Linked DNA regions of Danio rerio. The main gene of each other region encodes a partner of the protein of the gene in region 2 in a complex. Links are inferred from orthologs where the notes say so. Each region holds a gene or a part of one and is shown on either strand. Other genes may lie near its edges. The genes, in order: bcl10 and malt1.

What was found.
Region 1: the proteins of malt1 (region 2) and bcl10 are in contact, whole or in part, in a cryo-EM structure (PDB 6GK2), measured with the Homo sapiens proteins. The link is inferred for Danio rerio from reciprocal best matches to the Homo sapiens genes MALT1 and BCL10. Residues at the interface, in NP_006776.1 of Homo sapiens: Asp46, Gln47, Ala48, Pro49, Trp54, Arg55, Leu74, Glu75, Ser78, Leu79, Val81, Leu82, Glu83, Pro84, Glu85, Gly86, Pro88; in NP_003912.1 of Homo sapiens: Leu13, Lys17, Val83, Arg87, Asn93, Gln97, Thr100, Leu104, Arg107, Asn108, Leu111.

The regions. Positions count from the first base shown.
Region 1 is NC_133177.1:2,088,209-2,098,081, reverse strand, and holds the start of bcl10 (B-cell lymphoma/leukemia 10), read right to left. Parts: upstream 5,318-9,873; 5' UTR 5,139-5,317; coding exon 5,088-5,138; intron 2,561-5,087; exon of another isoform or gene 2,449-2,560; coding exon of another isoform or gene 2,425-2,448; intron 2,299-2,424; coding exon 2,010-2,298; intron 1-2,009. Other genes in the region: exosc4 (exosome complex component RRP41), read right to left, coding at 7,537-7,896. UniProt on the Homo sapiens protein: Plays a key role in both adaptive and innate immune signaling by bridging CARD domain-containing proteins to immune activation.
Region 2 is NC_133180.1:72,225,166-72,234,938, reverse strand, and holds the start of malt1 (mucosa-associated lymphoid tissue lymphoma translocation protein 1), read right to left. Parts: upstream 8,923-9,773; 5' UTR 8,838-8,922; intron 7,056-8,837; 5' UTR 6,983-7,055; coding exon 6,834-6,982; intron 6,734-6,833; coding exon 6,567-6,733; intron 4,957-6,566; coding exon 4,835-4,956; intron 2,472-4,834; coding exon 2,324-2,471; intron 2,256-2,323; coding exon 2,077-2,255; intron 474-2,076; coding exon 377-473; intron 1-376. UniProt on the Homo sapiens protein: Protease that enhances BCL10-induced activation: acts via formation of CBM complexes that channel adaptive and innate immune signaling downstream of CARD domain-containing proteins (CARD9, CARD11 and CARD14) to activate NF-kappa-B and MAP kinase p38 pathways which stimulate expression of genes encoding pro-inflammatory cytokines and chemokines.

The DNA.
Region 1 (9,873 bases), on a different chromosome or scaffold from region 2:
TAAATAATGCACAGGTTAGTGTATACTCCATCAGCTGGTTTAGTTTCTGTCAGCTTTGTGTTTTTGACTGTTTGGGGCCATCTTGTGTCTGAATAATGCGCAGGTTAGTGTATACTCCACTAGCTGTTTTAGTTTCTGTCAGCTTTGTGTTTTTGACTGTTTGCCGCCATCTAGTGTCTGAATAATGCGCAGGTTAGTGTATACTCCATCAGCTGTTTTAGTTTCTGTCAGCTTTGTGTTTTTGACTGTTTGGCGCCATCTAGTGTCTAAATAATGCGCAGGTTAGTGTATACTCCATCAGCTGTTTTAGTTTGTGTCAGCTTTGTGTTTTTGACTGTTTGTCTTCATCTAGTGTCTAAATAATGCGCAGGTTAGTGTATACTCCATCAGCTGTTTTAGTTTGTGTCAGCTTTGTGTTTTTGACTGTTTGTCTTCATCTAGTGTCTAAATAATGCGCAGGTTAGTGTATACTCCATCAGCTGTTTTAGTTTCTGTCAGCTTTGTGTTTTTGACTGTTTGCCGCCATCTAGTGTCTGAATAATGCGCAGGTTAGTGTATACTCCATCAGCTGTTTTAGTTTCTGTCAGCTTTGTGTTTTTGACTGTTTGGCGCCATCTAGTGTCTAAATAATGCGCAGGTTAGTGTATACTCCATCAGCTGTTTTAGTTTGTGTCAGCTTTGTGTTTTTGACTGTTTGTCTTCATCTAGTGTCTAAATAATGCGCAGGTTAGTGTATACTCCATCAGCTGTTTTAGTTTGTGTCAGCTTTGTGTTTTTGACTGTTTGTCTTCATCTAGTGTCTAAATAATGCGCAGGTTAGTGTATACTCCATCAGCTGTTTTAGTTTCTGTCAGCTTTGTGTTTTTGACTGTTTGCCGCCATCTAGTGTCTGAATAATGCGCAGGTTAGTGTATACTCCATCAGCTGTTTTAGTTTCTGTCAGCTTTGTGTTTTTGACTGTTTGGCGCCATCTAGTGTCTAAATAATGCGCAGGTTAGTGTATACTCCATCAGCTGTTTTAGTTTCTGTCAGCTTTGTGTTTTTGACTGTTTGCCGCCATCTAGTGTCTGAATAATGCGCAGGTTAGTGTATACTCCATCTGCTGTTTTCATTTTTGTCCGCTTTGCGTTTAATTAACGAATTAATAAAATATTACAGCTCAGAACAATGTTATGTGTCTATTTTGGGGCAAGTAGCAATGTAATAAGCAGGATAAAGTAAATCCAGGATGGTTGTTTTCGCAGAATAAACCCTTTAGTGTTATACAGCAGTGCTCGGCTTCACGTCAGACTGTCAATAAAGCCTCTTGGGATGTATTCTGTGATAACAACCTCCTGGGTGTACTTTATCCTAAACATATCACCCAATATGTGTTTATTGTGAATATGTGGCTAGGGCTATATTTTGGGAAACCACAAAAAGTGCCTTTGCATGTGCTTGCCAGCATTTTCTAGGTAAAATGAACACTACATGGTGGTGTGATGCTGCCGACTTTTGTTCCTTTTAAAGATTTACAGCATAAAGATTTACAGGGACACATTATCAACGATAGCATCGATTTCGCATGGTTGTTAATAGATAAATGCCACAAAAATATCTCAATATAGACGGCTTTTCCAGAGTGGTCAGTTTGCTCTGTAGCTTACCTCGTACAGTGTCATACTTGGGGCGTGTAGGCAGACTTTGGACTGTTTTAGAAACCAGGTAAAAACAAATAAGCAATGTAAAACCATGGTAAAAGAATGTTCCAGCAATGCTCTTTTCTCTACTCGTTTGCATCTAAAAACACTATCGTTGAGTTTAGGGAGGAGGTGTATGGGTCAGTAATATATTATGCCCAACAAGCTGATCAGCTTCTCACATAAATGACATGTATGAGAAAAAATAGCTCAGTCACATATTTGAGATTTGCAAAAATGTAGATGGCGCCCTCTAGTGGACTTGTCAACACAAGCTGCAAGCAGGTGTCAGCGGAATAAGAAAAGCTTTTTAACCCTGTAAAGAGTTACCTTTTAAAGCCTCCAGGCGCTCGTTTTTGACCCGCTGCACCTCGTCTGTGATCCTGGCGATGATAAAGTTGAGCGTTCGGCCCCATTTGATGGACTCGATGAGCATGTCCAGGCCGCGAGGGTTTTCTGCCAGGATGTCCAGCAGTTTGCTGGTGCGTTTCCCTCTGGTGGTCCTGCAGCTGATCTCCTCCGTGTCTTCCCTGGTCAGGATCTTCTTCGAGCGCAGATAATCAAAGTGACGGTCGGCGATGATCTTATCCACCAGGTACGGTCGCAACCTTTCTATGGCCTACGATGACAGACAAGAACTAATGATTACACACTGACAATACTGTGCAAAAGTCTTAGGCTAGTGGCAGATTGAAATAGTTAGACATTATTTTGATCATTAATTGTACTTCAACAGTGAGTTTACTTTCAGAGATGATCTGATCATCATCCAGTCTGTCTGATGGACAACTCGGTTAAGAAGAACTCTGGCTCATCTTGAAGATGCTTCCAAAAACCTACCAGCAAAGCTGTTCAAAGTTTTAGGCACTTGTGTAAAAATGCTGTAAAGTGAAGATGCTTTTAAAAATAATTGATAAATACATTTTATTTATCAATGAACCTATATTACTAAATCAATTAAACATGTGAAATGACCACACTTTGCATTTAAAACACTAAGCCCAATAGCTCATAGTTTTTCAGGGAGCTTTGCAGGGAGGCTATTATATATCAGTATTTTTGAAGCAGGGAACATTTAAGACAGGCAAAAATTATTGGGCATGTGTCAAGGATTTGATCAGAGATTAGTGTGATTTCTCTTATTCAACAAAGATAAATAAATAAATAAATAAATAAATAAATAAATAAATGAATGAATGAATGAATGAATGAATGAATGAATAAATTTGACTTGTAGGCTTGTGCTTTACATATCATTTATATACTGCTACTCTCTGTTGAATTGTAGTGTTTATTAAAAGCGTCTGCCTACTAAATAAATATCTGCTAAGTTAATAAAAGATAATTCTTTTTTATGTTTAATATAATATATTTTACTATAATACATATAGTAAAATAATATAAATATATATATAGCAAATAGTGTTTTTGAACCATACTATAGTTAAGTGTATTGAACTATATATATATATATATATATATATGTATATATATATGTATGTATATATATATATATATATATATATATATATATATATATATATATATATATATATATATATATATATATATACATACATATATATACATACATATATATATATATATATATATATATATATATATATAGTGGCAGATATATATATATAATATAATATAAAATAAATGTATATAAATAGTTTCCCAGTACTGGGTTGGGGCTGGAAGGGTATCCATAGTATAGTTGGCGGTTCATTCCACTGTGGTGACCTCTGAAATAGAGACTAAGCCGAAGGAAAATGAATTAATTAAATTTATATAAATAAATATATTTAGTAAATAGTGTTTTTGAACCGTATATTAAACGGTATAGCAAACTCTTTGTAATGAATGCTGCTTATCAACATTAAACTTATAATCTGTAATAAATACAGTAGTATACGTTAGCAGTGTATGTATAAATTTGTAAACTGTAGTGTATTGAAGTGCAATAGTTATATATAGTATTTAAAAAGAATACACACACACATATATAAGTCAGAATTATTAGCCACCTTTTGATTTTATTTTATTTTTTTAAATATTTCCCAAATGATGTTTAACAGAGCAAGGAAATTTTCACAGTATGTCTGATAATATTTTTTCTTCTAGAGAAAGTCTTATTTATTTTATTTTGGCAAGATTAAAAACAGTTATTAATTTTTTAAAAAACATTTTGGGACAAAATTACCTTTACCTTAAAATTCACCACATCAACCCAATTAAGCCTTTAAATTTCACTTTAAGCTGTATAGAAGTGTCTTGAAATATTAAAATATTAATTAAAATATTATTTACTGTCATCAAAGAGAAAATAAATTCGTTATTAGAAATAAGTTTTTAAAACTATTATGTTTAGAAATGTGATGAAACAATCTTCCCTTCATTAAACAGAAATTGGGAAAAAAAATAAACAGGGGCGCTAATAATTAAGGGGGCTAATAATTCTGACTTCAACTGTGTATATATATATATATATATATATATATATATATATATATATATATATATATATATATATATATATATATATATATATATATATATATATATTACAAGTTTCCCAATACTGGAAGGACATCCGCTGCGTGAAACCTGTGTGGCGACCTCTGAAATAGAGACTAAGCTGAAGGAAAAAAAAAAAAAAAATATATATATATATATATATATATATATATATATATATATATATATATATATATATATATATATATACTTCCCAGTACTGGAAGGGCATCCGCTGCGTAAAACATATGCTGGAAAAGTAATGTTTTTGAACTATACTATAGTTAAGTGTATTAAACTCTTTAGTGAACTCTTTATAAATGAATTTTACTTATCAATATTGAACTCATAAGCTGTTATAAATACTGTAGTATACGTTAGCAGTGTGTTATTAGTGTTACATTAGTATTGTAAGCTACTATTATGTGTAAACTGTATAGTTGTATGTATTACAGTATTGTGACATGTTTATACTGTTGTATTACCATAACAACAACAAAATTACCACAACAGATTAATTCAAGTAACGTTAGCCTACTTTAGCATTGTTCATAAACACTAATATTTGCCAGAATTAAGTTAGTCCACTGTAGTATGTTTTAATGTGGGTTTATTTAATCTCGTAGACCAATATGATTAATATGCTCGTCTTAGGTACTTCATAAAGCAGTTCACACTCTAATAAAGTGAAGTCGGAGTATAAAAACTTGACGAACTCATTTGGAAATCATTTGCTTTCAGGTTTTTACACCTGATAAACGTTTGGTTGCATCGATCAGGTTTGTGGTCAGTGCCCCTCAGCGCTTTCACTTCTACTTTTACGAAGGCATTATCTGATTAATAGATTCTCGATTTCATTAACGCGTTTTGTTTCGTTTTACTCACTTCCTTCTTTATATCGGCCATTTCGTCCTCCGTCAGGTGAGTAACATCCATCCTCTCTTTTCGTTTTGTTGTTTTTCACTACTGTTCAGTTTTTAACTCGTTCCGGTAAGAAAACGGTGCTTCAAATTCCACATCGGCGACCAGAAATCAGCCAAAATGTCCAGACACGAACTTGTTAGCACACGTTGGATCCACTCGTAGTTCTCATATAGTAAAGGGGAACTACCGGCGCTTTAACTTCCTTATTGATAGCCTACATACTTTCTGTGAATGACGCCATAACCCAGCATCACGTCATCATTTTACAGGGGAGAACTTGTAAAATTTGTAAATTATGTAATATTTTCCTTTAATTTGTGATGATGTATATACCCCTACATGTGTTTTCCAATTTAATTCTTTTTACTGTATTGGGATTGTATTTGTGCATTTTTCATACTCTGATAAAATAGTTGGGTTAAAAATACCCCAACATTAAACCCAACTATGGGGTATTTTAACTCAATGCATTGGGTTATTTTAAATACATGTTTTTTTTTCATTCTGGTATTACTCTATTACTATTACTACTATTAATTTTATAATTATGATAGTGTAAATAAATAAATGTCTCCGCTGGGTGCTAAAGACAACAATATTATTGCGTTAAGAGCTTAAATAAACTTTAGAATGCAAAAACAACATTAAGCGCACATATTAATACAGCTGTTCTGTGTCAGTTAAATCAGTTGACTGTTGAAATTAAAAATTCTAACCCAACTGGTTGAGTTATGATATAAATAACCCAACAAAGTACATACTATTTAACCCAACTGGTTGAGTTACTATTAAATAACATAATAAAGGTTAAAAATAACCCAACAAAGCACATACTATTTAACCCAACTGGTTGAGTTACTAATAAATAACATAATAAAGGTTAAAATAACCCAACAAAGCACCAAATATGTTTAACTTAATTATTGGGTTAAATAAATAACTCAACGTTTTTTTAGAGTGTAACATTTGAAACAAAGTTATATCTGAAATGTAAACTGTAAACTTAAAATTGTACAAAAAGCATTTACAAGCTGTGATACTTGCCAAAGGCGGCAGTTCAAGATATTATAATCAACAAAAAAACGTTCTGAGAAGGTTCTCTTTTGGTTATAAAATAGATCCCAAAATTAACCTACAATGAACGTTCTGGGAAGGTTCTCTCAAGGTTATGAAAAAAACCTAAATAAAACCTAGAGGGAATGTTCTGGGAAGGTTCTCTGTAGGTAATAAATTAACCATTGAAAATAGCCTGCAGAGAACGTTCTGGGAAGGTTATATTTTGGTTACCAAAAAAAAAAAAAAAACCTACAGAGAACGTTCCCAGAATGTTTTTTTTTTTATTTTCTGTTATTTTGAAAGTGTAAATGATGGAAATAAAGTTTAACTTTTTTGACACATTAAAAAAATGTCTAATCTGTAATTTAAAGCCTTTTGGAGATTTTTCCATCTTGTCGTGGCTTCTTTATGCACATTAATTCAAATTTTTACCTGGGGCGCCCAAACTTTCGATCCCCACTGTTTATTAGGAGTACTAAATCTGATTAAATAATGGTTAATTTGATAAAACACAAAAGGAAAAGTGTTCATTTGTTAAAAACATACCATTGTTTTATTACAACTCTCTCACAACAGAGGACATTATTATAACAAAATGTGTTCAGCGCTTTTTAGGTGGCATTTCTTCTGGATAAGCTGATATATAAACTTATTTTTTTCTGTGTCTATCAATTCTGTGTGTTTTTCAGTCCAAGCGCATGCTTCAGACACTAAAATGAAGAATAAATGACTAAAGCATTTCCTATGGAGTCAGATCAGTCTCAAAAATAATACATTTATGAAATGATATTCATACATGCATAGCGCAATTCACATTTATAAAATTAAGTTCGTAAATTCAAAACACAATTCATAAATACAACACACAGTTTATAGATTCACAAGTAAAAATCATAAATATTTTCGCCAAATGAACTGGATTTGTGTATTTTTTAATTATATTTAAACTTGTGAATTATATTTTGTAAATGTGTTATTTCTGAGACTGATCTAACTCCATACATGTCGATCAAATCTGTTTTTTTTTTTCAGTCCAAGCGCATGCTTCAAAGATTAAATGAATAACAAATTAATAGAGCATTTCCTATGGAGTCAGATCAGTCTCAAAAATAATTAATTTACTAAAAGTTCATACATCACAATTCACAATTACATAATCCAATTCATAAAATCAAAACACTATTCATAAACGCAACACACAGTTCATGAATTCACCAGTGAATATCATATATAATATTTTCACCAAATGAATTGGATTTGTGTATTTCTGAATCATATTTAAGCAAATTATATTTTGTAAATGTATTATTTTTGACACTGATCTGACTCCATAGATGTCCATTAAATCTCCATCTCAATCTCTGGTCAGATCTGAAACCTCCTCTAGATGCTGCCGTACGACACTGTCTAGAACTTTACTGAACTCTTTGCACGCCGTCATGGCCGCCTCCATCAGTGTGTCCAGGTGGTCCTGATGGAGCCGGGCGTCCATTTGCAACAGGGCAATATTTCCACTACGAGGCAGCAAAGCCAGAGCCAGCGCTGTTCCTCCACCGCTCTCCTCTGCATGACACAGATCTGCCAGCGGGGTGTCCTCCACAAACCCAGCGCTGCACGCACACACATAATCGCGCATGGGGATCCCAGCGTCCACTAGAGCCAATGTAGCAGCATTGACACACGCGCTGTAGTTTCCACCGTCCGCCTGCAGGATCTACAGCGCAGGACAAATCAAAGACATGGTGCTGTTGTAGTCAGTTACATGTAATGTGAATTGTAATAGTATTTAAAGTGTCTTTGGAATCTTGTCATGTACTGCAACTGTAATAATATGAGTTATAGTTTGATCTGGCTCTTACGTTCAACAGAAAAAATTATCACAATAATTTAAAGCCAATATGCATGCATGGATGGATGGATTGATGGATTGTGGGTGGATGGCTGGGTAATTGGGTGGAGGACGAATGGATAGTTGGGTGGATCCTTGGATGGAGTCGGTGGGTGGATGGATGGATAGTTGCATTTATGAATGGATAGTTGGGTGGGTGCAGGAATAGCGTTGGGTAGATGGATAGATAGTTGGGTGGGTGCGTGGATGGATGGATAGTTGCATGAATGGATTGATAGTTGGGTGGGTGCATGAATAGCGTTGGGTAGATAGATGGATAGTTGGGTGCGTGGATGGATGGTTGGACGGATGGGTAGTTGGGTGGATGAATGCAAAGATAGATGGATGCATGTATGTTGGATAGTTGGGTGGGTCCATGGTAGAGTTGAGTGGGTGGTTGGATTGATAGTTGGGTGGATGGATGGATGAATGTATAGTTGGGTGGTTGGATGTATAGTTGGGTGGGTGCATGAATGGAGTTGGATGGGTGAATGGATAGGGAGTAGGTGTGTGGATGGATAGTTCGGTGGATGGATGCAGAGATGGATGGATGAATGGGTAGTTGAATGGATAGACGAATGGGTAGTTGGGTGGATAGATGGATGGATAGTTGGGTGGGTGCATGGATGGAGTTAGTTGGTTGTTGGGATGGATAGTTGGGTGGATGGATGGATGAATAGTCGGGTGGATAAATGGATGAATAGTCGGATGGATGAATAGTCAGATGGATGGATGGATAGTTGGATGTATGGATAGTTGGGTGGGTGCACAAATGGATTTGGGTTGGTGGATAGTTGGATAGTTGGGTGGGTGCATGAATAGAGTTAGGTGGGTGGATGGATGAATAATTGGGTGTGTGGATGGATGGGTAGTTAGGTGGATGAATGCAGGATGCATGTATGATGGATAGTTGGGTGGGTCCATGGATGGAGTTGAGTGGGTGGTTGGATGTATAGTTGGGTGGTTGGATGTATAGTTGGGTGGGTGCATGAATGGAGTTGGATGGGTGAATGGATAGTTGGGTGGGTGTATGGATGGATAGTTGGGTGGATGGATGCAGAGATGGATGGATGGATGGATGGGTAGTTGAATGGATAGTTGGGTGGATAGATGGATGGATAGTTGGGTGGGTGCATGGATGGATAGTTGGGTGGGTGCACAAATGAATTTGGGTTGGTGGATAGTTGGATAGTTGGGTGCATGAATAGAGTTAGGTGGGTGGATGGATGAATAATTGGGTGCGTGGATGGATGGATAGATGGATAGTTGGGTATGTGGATGGATAGGAAGGTGGGTGTATGCTGGATGGAAAGATAGTTGGATGGGTGCATGGATGGAGTTAGGTGGTTGGTGGGATGGAAAGTTGGTGGTTGGATGGATGAATAGTCGGATGGATGATGGATAGTCAGATGGAGGATGGAAAGTCGGATGGATGAATAGTTGGGTGGGTGCATGAATGGAGTTGGGTGGGTAGACGGATGGATAACTGGGTGCGTGGATGGATAGTTGGGTGGATGGATAGATAGATGGATAGTTGGGTACGTGGATGGATGGGTAGGTGGGTGTATGCTGGATGAATGAATAGTTGGGGAATGCATAGATGGATGGACTGTTGGGTGGGTAAATGCATGGATGGATAATTAATTGGGTGGATGAATGGTTGGATCGATAGTTGGGTGGGTGGATGAGTTGATTGACAGTGGGGTGTATACATGGATGGATGGATATTTATGTGGATGCATGGACAGTTGGGTGGATGAATGGTTGGATCGACTGTTGGGTGGATGGATGCATGAATGGATT
Region 2 (9,773 bases):
AGACAGAATTTCCACCCCCTGTTGCCAATTTCAGTATTATATTTATTCATCCATGACAGGCTTAAATCAGCCAAGGTATCTTAAAAATACACCCACAGCAAAAGATTGACTTCGAGTGTTAAGAACATCTCTAAAAATACGGCGGTACACACAGACCTATTCTGAATAGTTTATCTTAACATTAAATGCTCTCAATAATCGGGAAGTACGCCAGACTAAATTACAAGAAAGAAACAACATGCTTTTCAGAATGATCGATTGAATGAGAGTTATATAATTAGCCTTACTGGCCGTACAACTCGCTACTGTTACAATTAAAATTTGATTAGAACTAGAGAATACATAAATAAATACAAAACAAACACTTGATACATACCAATAACAACGTCAACTTCACTGCTCCATGTTCGTTCATTATTGCAGCAGATCTCGCAGCGATATCGTCCCTGATGCTCTGGCAACACATTCTTGACCTGATTTTAAATAAAATAAAAAAATAAACTATAAATATAATCAGTAACATTTTATGTATAAGTAACAAATCACACCATTTACTACTGGCTTATTACCTGATTATTATTATTCAGTATGATCTTATTTTTACATCCCTAATCCTACCCAATACCTAAACCCTATGCCCAATACCTAAAAGTCTTAGGGCGTACTCACACTAGGTAGTTGCCTTGAACCGTGCTGAGGCACATTAGTCCCCCCTCCTCTCTCCCCCGACGGCCTGCACCCACATTGCTTACCTTCCAAGCCAGAGCATGCTAACGTCATCGATGTTGCGACTGTCTAGTTTAACAGGTAGTGCTCTCCCTCAGCACAGTGGACTTTGCTTTAGTTAAATCGTTTTGTATTATTTTGAGTATTTTGGGATGCAGTGACACACAGTTAAATATATTGCTGAACAGACCCAGCACTTTTGACACTCATTAATTATCATAGAAGTCATCGTGCTGCATGTATTATGAGGTTTGCTGAAGGTGCAGCTGACGTGCAGCTAGGGGTTTGTGTCTTTAATAAGCTATGACAGATTGTGTTCATTGAACAGTAAGAATGATTGATAAATCCATATGAAACAGTCCCTTAAAAGTCATGTCACGTCTTCAGTTTTGCACTCAGGCGTGCTTTGCACTCACACTACAAGCATACTGCGCCAAAGCCTAAACGAATTGTGCCAGGGCCGGCCAACTGAACTGCGCATGGGCCCGATTCTGAGCACTCACACTTGTCAAATGAACCGGGAAACAGTTCAGATGATCTAGTGTGAGTGCACCCTCAGTTAATGGTATGTTAATAGCATACCTGTATATGAAAATAACGTGTGACCAAATAATTTTAATAATTAAGATTACTGGATACGTTTTCTTTTAGGTGTTGTTGTTTCTACAATTTTTTCCCCAGTTTAGGCTCCTTTTTAATACTATTTAAGTATTTAAGACTATCATGAATAAAATTTCATACTTACTGTATACAGGGCTAAACGGTTGGCCCAATGGAAAAGATTTTTACTTGCCTCATCAAAAAAATTCAGCAACATTTTAGCTACATATTTTAAATAATGTGTTAAAACCAGTGAACTCTTTTTTTCAACATAACATTTCTTTTAAACAATAATGACATGTTTTAAAAACTATAATAAGCTAAAAGTATGCAAAACAGTCTGCCCCGGCTAGTGTCCCAACCTGGTAGCTATAAATACATGGAACATTTACCAAATATTATTGTACGAAAGATCATTAAACCATATTGATAAATAGAGTTGATTAATAAAAATGGTAAATCTCTTTTTTTTTTTTTTTTTTTTAGATGGATTTTTTTTTAGTTGGTGATTGAATGGACGTTGGCCCGATTGGGTAACTTTACATGAACATCGAAAAATTAAGACCTGTTTACAATTATTTAAGACAATATTTCAGTAAACTAAAGACTTTTTTAAGGCCTAAAATTTTTTTTTTTGTCATTTAAGATATTTTAAGTATATATTAGTCTATATTTTAAGACCCAGCAGACACCCTGTGTGTATTATTTTGTGTATAAACTGAACATTTGAGCATATATTTATTCTCGTACAGTGAACTTCCTCTTGTTGGCTTTTTTGATTGGCGCTCCATTTCTGTACCACTGATATTGCGGCAGCAGTCTGCCAGCAGCTCCACACTCCAGATACAGTAAATCTCCAGTCAGCAGCTTTTGAGGTTGAGGCTGGATCAACACCCTCAGCCTGACCTCCGATCCCATAGACACTAGACCTAAACAAAAAACATCCATTTTCAATATAGCAACAAAGCATGATCATTTTAAGATGCGTATCGCTTACCATATCTTGTTGGGACGTCAAGGACATCTACTTGTGCCCACTGACTGAACTCATATGTGCTTCCACAGTTTACCCTACAGATGTAAAACCCTGCATCTCTGATCTGGACTGGGCTGAACACAAGGTCTGGGGAAGAGCTGCTGCGTACCTGAAAGGTTGCATTAGTTATAGTATTTGTTTAAATCACCATCAGTTAAAGGGAGAGTTCACCCTTAAATGAAAAAGTATTTACTATTTACTCAAGTGATTACAAATTAAAGGGCACCTATTTAACCCCTTTTACAAGATGTAAGATAAGCCTTTAGTGTCTCCAGAATGTGTCTGTAAAGTTTCAACTTAAAATACCCATCAGATAATTTATTATAACGTCCAGAATATGCACACTTTTGGTGTCCAAGTACAGTGCAGCTGTTTTTGTAGCCTGTGACTTTAAATCCAAATGAGCTGCTTTTCCCCGCCCACTTTTCCTATGTGCGTGTCTGCTTCTCATCATGCGTTATGTCAGATAAACAGCAGTCAGTGATAAAGACAGACTCGGATAAAGCTGAAATACAGCTATTTAGTCAAGAACACCAAGTAAGTTTATTTGATGTATTTGTGGTGGAGTCTATTCAAGCCTTTCTGAAATGATGAGTCTCACACATTAGCGTTTACTGACACCATGTGTACATGGTGATTATAGCGGTTAAGAATTAGCAATTTAACTTCACGTCAATGTAATTTAACGTCTTTATTACAAATGTGCTCTGTTTTAAAGACGTTTTAAACTTATAAAAATCACAGTGAGTTGAAACAGATATTTTACTCCCTGTTAAAAAAACTGTTCTGTGAACAGGTGTAGACATGTTATTATGGAATCATGGCGCCTGTCAATCAATTCAGTGGGCGGGGAAAACTGCACTTCTACATAACATTGCAGAGGACCTCAAAATTACTGGGATTTGGGTCCTATTTTAAAGTCAGGAAATTAAAAAAAAGAGACTTATTGTGTTTCACAGTTCTGTCCAAACAGCTTACAAAAGTTGATTTTCATGATAGGTGCCCATAAAGATTTTCTTGAAGAAAGCTTGAAGCTGACAACTTTTGACTTCCATAGCAGATAAAAACACATACTATAGAAGTCAGCCAGTTTTTAAAACATATTTTTTGTTTACAAGATAAAAAAAAAAAAAAAACTCAAACAGTTTTGAGAAAAGTGAAGAATTAAAGAGTTTTCAGTTTTGGGTGAACTATCCCTTTAATTAGGTTATTCATTTGTAATATCACATGTTATCACAACGAAAACTAAGACTAAAACTATTGGTGAAAAAACACTTCGTTAACTGAAATAAAATAAATAATTCATGATAACTTAAAAGCTAAAACTGACAACATTTGAAATATATTTGAAAAAATTCATTCATTTTCTTTCAGCTTATTTATTAGGGGTGGCCACCGTGGAATGAACCACCAACTATTCTGGCATATGTTTTACGCTGAGGATGCCCTTCCAGCCATAAAGCTGGTAAACACCCATAGACACTCTTTACACACACACACTCATACACTATGGGCAATTTAGTTTACCTAAATCACCTATAGCGCATGTCTTTGGACTGTAGGGGAAAGCGGAGCACCCGGTGGAAACTCACACAAACAGGGGAAAAACATGCAAACTCCCCAAAGATTTGCCAATTGCCCCAGCTGGGACTTGAACCAGTGACCTTCTTGCTGTGAGGCGACAGTGCTAACCAATGAGCCACCGTGCCACTCATTTGAAAAAAACTAAATTTGCTAAACTAAATAATAATTTTCACAATTCATAAGCACTCATTCTGTGGCAAATAATCTGAGCTACGGCTGTTTATCGAAGTATCAAACACATCAGTCAAGCACATGACTATTATATACAGAAACACCTTTTCCGTATAAACATAAAACATGTCGTCTAACTTTTCTTTATTTGCCAAAAAATGCAAACTAAGCACATTTAACCACATACATTATCTTTACAGATTAAAAAGTTTGTCTGAATTCTTTATAATTTGTACGTTTATCCATTTAAGTTCCATTTTGGGTTTTGTATTCAGTGTTATTTTTTTTACTAAGTGTTTTGCACAAGAGTTCATGCAAGCTGTGCAAACATTAAACTTTGCTTTGGTCCACACTGGACATGTTCTGTCAACTCAGTTAGAGTAGAATTACTACACTAAAACTGAAAATAAATATATAAAAACTAAAAAGAATTTTGTTCATAGAATAAGAAACTAAAACTTATCAAACCATTTATTTATTGAACTAAACTGAAACGTACAGCAAATTTTAAAATAGTATCAAAATAATTCATTCATTCATTCATTCATTCATTATTTATTTATTGCCATGTCAGCTACTAAGGCTATTTTCATGGCAAGAGCATTTCAGTAATTAACAAACATCAACAGTAAAAAATAAATAATTGAATATACAATTTAGTATCAAAATAAAAACTCATTTAAAGATGCAAAACTATAAAACTATTGGTCTACACACCTCCTCAGTTTTCTTAAACCACTGGAACTGCACAGGTGAAGCACCGACAGCATAACAGCTAAGGCGAAGGTTGTGTCCGGCAATGACAGATACTGACTGTGGCTGAAGCAGGATTTGAATTCCTGTGAGACAAAAACAGAAAAGTCAGAATAGCACAATGTGGACCTGGAATTAATTTTCACATTGGAAAAGTATTGTAATAATTAGTATAGTTTTCACGTAAACTCTGAACTGCATTACACACACTCTGATTCACCAGATGTAAACTCAGAATTACAAGATCTGATCTACTCTCGGAATCACAAGGTCTAAACTCGGAGTGGCAAGTGTTAATCTCGGAATTGCAAGATTTAGACTCAGAGTGACAAGATTTAATCTAAGAATTGTAAGATCTAAAGTCAGAAAAGCTAGATCTAAACTCGGAATGGCAAGATCCAACTTGGGATAACAGCTTGTAAACTTGAAATAGCAAGATCTAAACTCTGAATTGCAAGGTCTAGACTTGGAATTGGCAGAAGTAAATTCAAAATCTCAACTCTGAATCGCGTAACATGCATTCTGAATCACCAAAAGTAATCTTATAATCACACAATGTATACTTGGAATTGCAACATGTAAACCAAGATACATGATCTAAACTTGTACTTGCAAGATCTAATTTCGGACTCATGAGATATAAAGTCAGAATTGGACTTCTAACTTGGATATGCAAGATGTAAACTTAGAATCGCAAGATACAAACATAGACTTGCAAGATCTAATCTCAAAATAACGAGACCTAAACACAAAATCTAAAGGTCTAACTGTAATTGCAAAATCTAAAGTCAGAATGGCAAGATCTAAACTCAGAGTTGCAAGATGTAGCTTGGAATAGCAACATACAATTTTGGAATATGTAGGAATAGCAAGATCTAACTCTGAATTGCAAGATCTAATCTCAAAATTGCAAGATCTGACTTATGACTGCACGACGTAAACTCGTAATCGCAACAAGTACCCTTGGAATTGCAAGATCTAAACTCGGAATGGTAAGACCTAACTCAAAATAGCAAGACCTAAACTCAGAATCACATTCCAGCTCAGAATTGTAAGATGCAAACTTGGAATTGCAAGATCTAACTCGGGATCTCAATATGCAATCTCAGACTCACAAGATCTAAACTTGGAATAGCAAAATCTAAACTCGGAATTGTAAAATCTAATCTCGGAATGGCAAAATGTAATATCGAACTCACAAGACCTAGACTCGAAACGGCAAGATCTTAAACCGCAAATTGCAAAACCTCAACTCAGAATTCCTAGATATAACTTGGAATCACAAGATCCAATCTCGAAGTGGTGAGATCTAAATTCGGAACAGCAAGATTTAATCTCGGAATTGCAAGATTCAACTAGAAATAGCAAGACCTAAACTCAAAGTCTCAAGATCTTGACTTAGAACTGCAACATGTAAAACTTATAATAGCGAGATCTAATCTCAGAATCGCAAGATAAAACTTGGAATCTCAACATGTAATCTTAGAATCATAAGATCTAAACTCGGAACGACAAGATCTTATCTCAGAATCGCAAGATCAAAACTCAGAATTGCATGATCTATCTCTGAATCGCTAGATCTAACACGGAATTGCGACATGTAAATTTGGATAAGCAAGACAAAAGATAATGTAATACAGCATTGCACAACATAAAAACTCTGCCTACTATGTTTACACTATTAAGGTAACTGTACCTGGAGGTTTAAGACACTGCAGGGCCTCTGTGTGACCCATGATCTGTAGAAACTCCATCAGTTCTTCCTGGATACAGCCCTGATCTCCGATGAGTTTGAGAAGAGTTCGGGAAGGACTACCATCTGCCTTCAAAGCCTTCAGAGAACACATGTCCATGTCTTCGAGACTGTGCATATGAGTGAATTCAGAAAGCATTACGAAATGTAAGTTTCAAAGTGGATATTACATTAGGAGGTAAAGTGAAGAGAGAACAATAGAGCTGTTACCTCACTTTAAACCGCTTGTCATTTTTCACAATCTCCCCCAGTTTTCGCCATCCTTTATTGTTGGCTTTATCAAGAGACTCACAGAGCCTTTTTAATACAGATTCTTTCAAGAAATTTATGTTCAAAGAGCTTTCATTCGATTCCGACATGTTTGAGAATAAGGCAGATGCACCGCTGTGATTGGTTTGACCTGCTGAACTGCTTAAGTAGTCAGCAAAGCACCTGCCAAACGGAAAATCAACATGACATTATTAGCAGTGTATACATCATATAAGAAATATAAGAATATTTATTTAACACCACTAGAATATGAATATATAACATATTAAAATACATGAATATTCTGAAAATATTTGTATTATAAATGTAATAAATGAGATATCAACTGTTGTGGCATTTACAAAAGTGATTTACAAAAGCGAATTAACTATTTATTCTGACCTGCACTTCTCAAGATATATAAAATGATGAGTGATCATACTAAATTGTATTAAAAGTATTACAAAATGTCACCATCAAATAACCCTTGATCTAATTATGCCTGACAAAAAAAAATGGTGCATTATCCTGCTGGAAGTAGCCATCAGAATATGAGTACACTTTGGTCATAAAGGGATGGACATGATCAGCAACAATGCTCAGGTAGGCTGTGGTGTTGACACGATGCTCAATTGGTCCTAATGGGCCCACAGTGTGCCAAGTAAATATCCCCCACACCATCAAACCACCACCACCAGCCTAATTCACTGATTCAAGGCAGGATGGAATCATACTTTCATGTTGTTGATGCCAAATTCTGACCCGATCATCCGAATGTGGCAGCTGAAATTGACAATCTTCAGACCAGGCAACATTTCTCCAATTGTTCAATTTTGGTGCGCCTGTGTGAATTGTAGCCTCAGTTTCCTGTTCTTAGCTGACAGGAGCGGCACCCGGTGTGGTCTTCTGCTGCTGTAGCCCATCCGCCTCAAGGTTAGTCATGTTGTGCGTTCAGAGATGCTCTTCTGCAGACCTCGGTTGTAACGAGTGGTTGTTTGAGCTACTGTTGCCTTTCTATCAGCTGGAACCAGTCTGGCCGTTCTCCCCTGACCTCTGGCATCAACAAGGCACTTGTGACCACAGAACTGCCACAAACTGGATATTTTCTCTTTTTCGGACCATTCTCTGTAAACCCTGGAGATGGTTGTGCATGAAAATCCCAGTTGATCAGCAGTTTCTGAAATACTCAGATCAGCCGTTCTGGCACCAAAAACCATGCCACCATCAAAATCACTTAAATCACCCTTCTTCCTCATTCTGATGCTCGGTTCGAACTGCAGCAGATCGTCTTGACCATGTCTACATGCCTAAATGCATTGAATTGCTGCCATGCGATTGGCTGATTAGAAATTTGCGTTAGCGATCAGTTGGACGGGTGTACCTAATAAAGTGGCCGGTAAGTGTATACACCTGTCTACATTAGACACACTAGTTTAATATCTTTAAATTCAGATTAGAGATCATATCAAAGACATTTTCTTCAAAATTAAATCCCTGTAATAATTTGCTCCTTCATGTTGTTCCAGTTCCTTAATTTATTTCCGTGAACAATTCAAATGAATGAAATGTCATCCAAAGTATTCAGAATCATCTAAAAGTGAAAGAAGACTTAATATTTTCCTTTATGATCCACAGAAGAAGTAAAGTAAGACGAGTGTGAACGGCAAGACGACTTTAAAAATGAAGACGAAAAACAAAGCAGTATTGTCATCCTTTGGTACGTCAACAACTTGTACAATCGCTAATTTCACTTTTTCCATCGCGCTTTGTCTAGTCAGCAAGCGAATATTGGTAAAAAATTATTGTTTAATAAAGTATTTAGCACTTCTAAGTTAGATTTTAAGATTATGAAATGTATGAACTGGACTAAACGTTCATGTTTCAAAAGTAGCCAAACAACATATCGGAATTCACCAAACACAAAACAGAAGGCTTGAAAAACACGCAGTATAAACATTGACATACCGTACACGGATTATGTGTTGTCATGTATCCCATTATTAAACGATACATGAATCCGACTGATGCGGGGAAATCCAAAAGTACGTGTGTGTGTGTGTGTGTGTGTGTGTGTGTGTGTGTGTGTGTGTGTGTGTGTGTTCGCATCACTTCCTGGTGTCTGACAAAGGGGAAGGTGTTCATCTCATCATGAGTACACTACTCCTGAGCAGCTCGCAGTGCTTAAACGGAAGTGTTTCAGTCAAACTCGCTCTTCACAAACATGTGATTTGGGGTTGTTTATTTATCTTTAAAGGATGATGGTTTTTTTATGAACTTTATTTCGTTATTGTGTGAGGAAAATACACATTCATGGATGCCAGTTTACAAGGGAAACCTCTCTTCATTGTACCAGAAAAAGAGATGTAGGCTAGAAACAATGAGAAAAGCATTAATTAATATATTGAATGGAATTAATATTAATTCATATCTGCTCATCTTTTAACATTTTTACTTAAAGACTACATATGTATGTATATTTTCTGCAATAACCCTTACTGTGTGTGCTGTTGGGGATGTTTTCATCCACTCTGAGGAGATTTCAAGTATTAATTTGGCCATAACTTTGTCTGTTTCAGCTAGCAGAATGTTTTTTGGTGGCAAATCTTATTTTGAAATATACTATATTTTGTGAAAATAATTAAAATTTAAAACAAAAAAACTCAAAGATACACTCTGGGCAAATTTACTTTCCTTTTGCCTTTTGTTATGTTCGGGATTGTTCGGGATGAAAACATCCACTGAATAAAATCAGATATATATATATATATATATATATATATATATATATATATATATATATATATATATATATATATATATATATATATATATATATACATACATATATATATATACACATATATATATATATATATATATATATATATATATATATATATA